Linked DNA regions of Rattus norvegicus. The main gene of each other region encodes a partner of the protein of the gene in region 2 in a complex. Links are inferred from orthologs where the notes say so. Each region holds a gene or a part of one and is shown on either strand. Other genes may lie near its edges.

Region 1 (4,237 bases), on a different chromosome or scaffold from region 2:
ACATGCTGTTCAGGAAAGCACCGAGAAATGGTTAAAAAGCTGTCAATACTATATAACCATTTATTTTAACCAATGCATTCCTTCTACAAATATAGATACACAGCAGTTTTGTAAAACTCATTTTATTTACAAACCAAAAGACTACCTATTCTTGGACCAGTGAGATCATGCAGCAGATAAAGGCCCTGAGTTCAATCCCCAGAATCTATGCAAAACTGGAAACAGAGAACAAATTCCACAAAATTATCCTCTAATCTCTTCTGTGCACCTCTGTATATATAATAAAAATACATTTTCTTGTCTTGTAATAAATACTTCTATCAATTTTTAAAAAGATTTATTTTCTGTGTATGTGAAGGGTGTGTATGGTGTGTTTCACCTCCAAAAGAGAGACCAGAAAGGGTTTAGATCCCTTGTAGCTGAAGTCACAGGTGTTTGTGAGCCATCTGGTGTGGGTGCTGGGAAATGAACCCAGGCCCTCTGAAAGCATCAAGTGTTAACCACAGAGCCACCTCTCCAGCCCATTTTTTATTAAGTTACAGGGTTTACTAGTGTTCACTAATGACCCAAAAACTGGAGAAGTGTTTGTCCCCCTTATTGTATAGACTTTTGTTTCTCTTTAAATTGAAAATATCACTTTTTCATTTAGCTTTCTACTTATTCAAATGTCTCAACAGATATGATAAAGGGTTCTCAATATTAAACTTCACCTGCTCAGAATTGTTAAATACACAGGAACAATTTAACAGGATGGTATGTTACCTAAACTGGCATGGATTCTTGGGAATTTGCTAAGTAGCCACGCCTCTTTGTGAATTTTTTTTTTTTTTTTGAGACAAGATCTCACTATGTAGCCCTGGTTTTATATCACTTTGTAAACCAGGCTAGTCTCAAATTCAAAAGATCCACCTGCCTTTGCCTGCCTCGGGCATGCTAGGATTAAAGGCATGCGCCACTACAAACTGATCTCCTTCAACTCTTGATCCTCGCGCTCAGTGATTGATTCATTACCACCACACAGGGGTTAGTCTTTTTTTTTTTTTCTTAAGACACAATTCAATCATTGAAAGAGATTTCAGTATGTTTCTGTAGTCACCTACCCAGCTTTTCAACATAGGACATTCCTTGGATCAGCCACTTAGTTCAGTCCTGCACCTCACTTTCTTCTGAAATGGCTTACTTGACGCTCCCAGGTGCCACGGCAATAGTGTGTTGCCGAAAATAAACACTTTAATCTCCAAGCAGGCAGCACAGAACCACACCTCCAACGACCGGAAGCCGCTAGACTGCGCCCGGACCGCCCCTGTCGCGGGCAGTCTCGCGGGTTTCCCCTAGTGTGATAGCAGGGTGCCTGACCTACCGTCGTCCGCCCGCTTTCTCGGCCCCGCCCATTCACTTGGCCCCACCCCGGAGCCGGATTGGTTCTTTTCCTTAGAAGAGCCCGTCCGTGCGGCTTCCGTCTCCGGCAGTGTCTGTGGCAGTGCGCAGGGCGATGGCGGCAGGTGGAAGCGATCCTCGAGCTGGCGACGTAGAAGAAGATGCTTCCCAGCTCATCTTTCCCAAAGGTAGTATCCGGGACAGTTCGACTCTGAGGTGACATTGTCCTTGAGTTATAGTCGTTATCCGTTCCCTGCCCACAGGGAGCATTCGGGGCCGGCACGGGGGATTGATTGGTCAGCCCGGTACAAATGAACCCTTTCGTAGTTAATTCCCCTACACCCAGCAGTTTTGTTTTTGTGAGAGCGTCTAATTAGGTATCCTAGGCTAGCCTCCACCTTATCACATTCGTGCCCTTTCCTCTTGAGTGCTAGAATTAAAGGCATGCGCCATCGCTCTTGATTTTTAGGGGGAGTTAAGCTATGCCTTTTCCTGTCATGCAGAAGATCTGGAGCAGAGGTCTCATTTCAAAATTGGCAGCCAGTAAAAGCTGAGCTATGGTTCCTCTCACAGTGCTAGTCAAAGCGTTTCAAGATCTGTGGGTCAGAAGTGCTCTCTGCCCTGGCCTCTGAGGAGAGATGCTGTTGCCGTTGGTTTCTGAACCTTCGTTGTAGCTTTTCGAGTTAGGAAGAACGTTTGAGAGCAAGATGGGTTCCGGTTTGGGATGTCTGGTACTTCCTTTTGTCGGATGTGTGCCAGCCTCTGTGCATAGTGCTGTTCCTGCTACTAAACTAGTCTAAACTAGTCACCTTGCCCCAGGAAATCAATCCCCTGTCTCTTCCTACCAACTGTTAGATATAGGAACCCTCTGTACCTGTTTTGTGGGTTCTGAGGATCCTAACTCTGCTTCTTACACTGGAGTGGCAAGTACATTATCCACTTAATCATCTGCCCAGCCCCAGCAAGTGAGGTTATCTTCTGTCTTTTGTGTGTGTTTTTAATTGAGATGGAGAATCTTTGTTTTTAAATTTTTATATATAAGGATTATTTTGCCTGCGTGTAGGTCTGCATGCATGTGAGGTGTCCATAGAAGCCAGATGTACTAATTGGACTTAAAAGATGATTTCGAGCCATCTTGTTGGTGCTGTGTGTGGCAGAACCCTTATCCTCTAGAAGATTAGCCAATGCTCTTAAGTGCGGAGCTGTCGTCTCTCCAGCCCTTATGTCACTGTTGTAAAATTTATTTTTATTTTAATTATGTCTGTGCAGGTATCTGAGGAGGGGAGAGGTGCTATGAGGTGTCTGATGGGGTGCTGAGAATTGAACTTCCTTCGAAAGAGCAGTGCATGCTCATTTCTCTAGCCTTCTGGTTTCGTTTGTTTGGTGTTTTTGAGTCTCTCTGGCTATCTTACAGCTCATCAATAATAGACCAGGCTGGCCTCAAACACAGAGATCATCCTGCCTCTGCCTCCCAAATGCTGAGACTTTGAAAAGAGTATTTTCAGTTCACATTTATTCTTCTTCCAGAGTTCGAAACAGCTGAGACGCTCCTGAACTCTGAAGTTCACATGCTTCTGGAGCACCGAAAGCAGCAGAATGAGAGTGCGGAGGACGAACAGGAGCTTTCAGAGGTTTTCATGAAAACCCTGAACTATACAGCCCGTTTCAGCCGGTTCAAAAACAGAGAGACCATTGCCAGTGTTCGTAGGTGAGTACTGAACATAAGCCCAAAACTAAAATCTACTTATGTATGTGTTATGGGAGTTTGGCTGCTTGTATGTCTGTGCACCATGTGTGTAAACACCCACAGAGGCCAGAATAGGGCGTTAGCTCCCCAGGGCTGGAATTACGGACAGTCGTGAGTCACTGTGTAGGTGCTGGGACTCGAAACCCAAGTCCTCTGAAAGAGCAGCTGGTGCCCTCAGCTGCTGAACCGCATCTCCAGCCCTACAAAACGGTTTTATTATTATAGACTCTCGTGAAAGACAGAGGCTGTAGGATCCAGGAGTTCAAGGGCATCCTTAGGGGCATAGTAGGTTCAAAGCCAGCCTTGATTGCATGAGACGCTGTTTTAAAAATGCTAACAAAGCAGGGGCCGCTGAGATGGCTCAGTGGGTAAAACATGCTTCAGCCAAGAGGTGGTGGTGCACCCCTTTAACCCAGCACTCAGGAGGTAGAGGCAAGCATATCTCTGAGTTCGATGCCAGCCTGGTCTATAGAACAAACAAACAAATGCAACCAAAAGTGCTTTCTGGGTAAGTCTTAGGACCTGAGCTTATATAGAACCCCAGATGCACCCAGAAGCTCTGAGAATGAATGAGAAGTTGCCTTCTAAGTATGTATGCTTACGCACTTACACATACACACAAATGGCTAAATAAACAGACCACACACAAATACTTAGGGGAAAAACAAACAAACAAACAAAAAAACCCTAACTGGGTATGCCTTTAATCCCAGAATTTGAGAGACAGAGACAGGAGAATCTCTGTTTGACTCCAGCCTGGTCTACATAGCAAGTTCCAGGACTACATAGATAGAACCTGTTAAAAAAAAGTAATCAAGGGCTTGAAGCCCCCACCCCCACCCCCAAATTTTGCCTACCAGAAAAAAGGCTCTCAGACTTGACTCAGTCAAAATTTTCTCCACTGCATCACAAATTCTGGGGTTACTAGTATATGCCATCATGCACTCGCTGCCCTCCAGGTACGATTTCTTGTATTCATTTTTATTTTATTATTTTTTTTATTGGATATTTTATGTATTTACATTTCAAGTGTTATCCCCTTTCCAGTTTCCCCTCTGGAACTCCTCTATCCCATCTCTCCAACCCCTGCTTCTACGAGGGTGCTCCCCCACC
Region 2 (3,333 bases):
TGTCTACAAAAACAAAAATAAACAAAAGCTCCCCAAACCCCACACAACACAACACAAGTAGGGGTCACAGGGGTCACATATCAGATAACTTGCATATTAGATATTTACTTTTTTTTTTTTCTGGAGCTGGGGACCGAACCCAGGGCCTTGCGCTTGCTAGGCAAGCGCTCTACCACTGAGCTAAATCCCCAACCCCCTATATTAGATATTTACAATTCATAACAGTAGCAAAGTACAGTTACGAACAGCACTAAAAATAACGTTATGGTTGGGGTCACCACAACGTGAAGAACTGTGTTAAAGGGTCAGTGTTAGGAAGGCTGAGAACCGCTTGCCTAGGTTACCTCTCTCTCCTCTCTGTCCCTCCTTTGTCTGAGGTACAATTTATATTTATGTACTGTTTATACTGCAGTTCAGCAGCTTGTAAGAATCCTCAGAAAGCTGGCTAATGGTGGCACAGGCCTGTGTCCCTGGCACTTAAGAAGCTGATGCAGAGGGGCTGGGGATTTAGCTCAGTGGTAGAGCACTTACCTAGGAAGCGCAAGGCCCTGGGTTCGGTCCCCAGCTCCCAAAAAAAGAACCAAAAAAAAAAAAAAAAAAAAAAAAAGAAGAAGCTGATGCAGGAGGACAATTACTTAGGGCAAGCCTGGACTACAAACCAAGGCTTCATATCAGAAGTAATTACATGTGTGTTTTCTCATGTTCGTTTTCTCTATAGAGTTGAACATCCATCACCATGATGACTTTTGGAATAATTCAGATCTGTCTTAGTCAGGGTTACTATTGCCATGATAAGACACCATGACCAAAGCAAACATGGGGAGGAAAGGGTTTATTTGGCTTCCACTTCTGCAGCTTAATCCATCACTGAAGGAAGCCATGGACAGTGCTGCTGACTGGCTTGCTCTCATGGCTTGCTCAGCCTGCTTCTTAGAGAACCCAGGACCACCAGCCCAGGGATGGCCCCACCCACAGTGGCCCTGCCACATCAATCACTGACTAAGAGAATAGCTTACAGGCTGCCTACAGCTGAGGGTTTCTCAGCTGAGCCTCTCTCCTCCCAGATGACTCTGACTTGTGTGAGGCGATGTAAGACTAACCAGGCCAAGTCCTTGATTTCTTTCCCATTTCTCCTGGTGACTGTGAATCGGCTATTTGTCCCCACATAGCTACTTGCTCAGATACTTGATATAGAGGCTTTAGATGCTATGTGACCTGACGTCACACAGGAAATGTGACATCGGGTGTCGGGATTTCCTGGCTACATGGGGACTGCTGCTTATGGGTGTTGTCCCTGCCTAGAATCTCCCAGTGAGCAGGGGTGGGGATTAAGTGGAGCCCCTGCCCAGCAGTGAGCAAAGATCTGGGCTCATCCAATCTGAGCTCCTCCTATACTTTCCTTCCTTTCACAGGCAGCAGAGCCTCCAAGGCTAAGAAAAAGGCCCCAGTGACCAAGGCAGGCAGGAAGAAGAAAAAGAAGAAGGGCTCAGATGATGAGGCCTTTGAGGACAGTGATGACGGGGACTTTGAGGGCCAGGAGGTAGACTACATGTCTGACGGCTCCAGGTGAGGCAGGGGTGAGGCAGAGGTGAAGCAGGGGCGAGGCAGGCCTGTGGTCACCCAACTTCATACCTTGCCCTTCTCTGCCCTATAGCAGCTCACCGGATGAGGCAGAGGGCAAGCCCAAGGTGCCCCAGCAGGAGGATGGCCCCAAGGGTAGGTGCCCGCTGGGGGCCAGCCGGGGAGTGGGAGTGTGCTCAGCAGTGGGCGCTGCTCACACCTGTGGCCTGTGTCCCAGGTGTGGACGAACAGAGTGAGAGCAGTGAGGAGAGTGAGGAGGAGAAGCCCCCCGAGGAGGACAAGGAGGAGGAGGAAGAGAAGAAGGCCCCTACCCCACAAGAGAAGAAACGCAGGAAAGGTGGGTGAGGAGCACAAGGCTGCAGTGATGGCCAGTGCCCTCCTCTTCCTTTGAACCCGCCTGCACAGGTGATGGTGGGTGGACTCTGTAGGCTCACTGCTTTGGATGTTTGTCCTATGCAGACAGCAGTGATGACTCAGACAGCTCAGAAGAGAGCGACATTGACAGTGAGACCTCCTCTGCGCTCTTCATGGCGGTAAGTCAGAGCTGGGGACTTGAGTGGGATTGACAGTCCAAGCCTTCAGACTCACCCCCCAATCTCTGCAGAAGAAGAAGACACCCCCCAAGAGGGAGCGGAAGCCATCCGGGGGAAGTTCAAAGGGCACCAGCCGGCCAGGAACTCCCAGTGCAGAAGCGGCAAGCACCTCTTCTACCCTGCGGGCCGCGGCCAGCAAGCTGGAACAGGGTGAGTGCCAGAAAAGCCTGTCCACGAGAGCCAGAGCTGCCGGTTCTGCACATCTGCTGTCCCCGACCTGGGCCCCACCTGGGCCTGACATTATTCTCTCCTCCAGGGAAGCGGACAAGTGAGACTCCAGCAGCCAAGCGCCTTCGGATGGACACAGGTCCCCAGAGCCTGTCTGGGAAGTCCACGCCCAGCAGCGGGTATGTTCAGACAGGAGCGGGACCATAGGTAGGATCGGGCTAAAGGGACTCTTGTATGACCCAGCCTCCTTTCTTTCCCCTCAGTGATGTCCAGGTGACAGAGGATGCTGTGCGCCGCTACCTGACCCGGAAGCCCATGACCACGAAGGACCTGCTGAAGAAGTTCCAGACCAAGAAGACGGGGCTGAGCAGCGAGCAGACAGTGAATGTGCTGGCGCAGATTCTCAAGCGCCTCAACCCTGAGCGCAAGATGATTGGGGACAAGATGCACTTCTCCCTCAAAGAGTGATGCCAATAAAGAGAGCAGGCCCAGAGTGCGAGTCATCACTGCCACCCCTGCCCTCCCGGAGGAGCCCTGAGGCATTTGAGCCTCTATTATATATACAGCATTCTGCCTGCATGCCTGAAGAGGCACCAGATTACATTATCAATGATTATAAGCACTGTGTGGTTGCTGGGAGTTGAACTCAGAATCTCTGGAAGAACAGTCCGTGCTCTTTAACCTCTGAGCCATCTCTCTAGTGCAAGCCTCCATTCTTGCAGAGGACACGGCCTTCCTGCCCACTGAGCTCAGTCCATAACCAGGACTTGTCTCCTGTGCAATCTTCACGAGTTTAATTTCATTTTACCTTTGCACTGGCCACACTCACAGCTCCTCACTGGGGGATTCTAGGCAGGCAGGGGCTCCACTCCTGAGCCACTATGCCCTCGTCCCCATTGTAGATCCGGGTGCTGTGTGGGTTTATGGTGGCATGCATGCGTTTGGGAACGCTCAGCTTCTAACAGTCCTCCAGGAGGACAGGTTTGGGATT

Evidence for each region. Proteins that work in one complex are often made in the same cells at the same time.
Region 1: Gtf2f1 (region 2) and Polr2d share a complex: the UniProt entries of both Homo sapiens proteins name them as parts of the TBP-based Pol II pre-initiation complex. The link is inferred for Rattus norvegicus from reciprocal best matches to the Homo sapiens genes GTF2F1 and POLR2D.

The regions. Positions count from the first base shown.
Region 1 is NC_086036.1:23,691,141-23,695,377, forward strand, and holds the start of Polr2d (DNA-directed RNA polymerase II subunit RPB4), read left to right. Parts: upstream 1-1,437; 5' UTR 1,438-1,492; coding exon 1,493-1,565; intron 1,566-2,904; coding exon 2,905-3,085; intron 3,086-4,237. UniProt on the Homo sapiens protein: Core component of RNA polymerase II (Pol II), a DNA-dependent RNA polymerase which synthesizes mRNA precursors and many functional non-coding RNAs using the four ribonucleoside triphosphates as substrates.
Region 2 is NC_086027.1:1,930,533-1,933,865, reverse strand, and holds the end of Gtf2f1 (general transcription factor IIF subunit 1), read left to right. Parts: intron 1-1,412; coding exon 1,413-1,566; intron 1,567-1,654; coding exon 1,655-1,716; intron 1,717-1,798; coding exon 1,799-1,918; intron 1,919-2,040; coding exon 2,041-2,114; intron 2,115-2,185; coding exon 2,186-2,324; intron 2,325-2,430; coding exon 2,431-2,521; intron 2,522-2,605; coding exon 2,606-2,810; 3' UTR 2,811-2,833; downstream 2,834-3,333. UniProt on the Homo sapiens protein: TFIIF is a general transcription initiation factor that binds to RNA polymerase II and helps to recruit it to the initiation complex in collaboration with TFIIB. It promotes transcription elongation.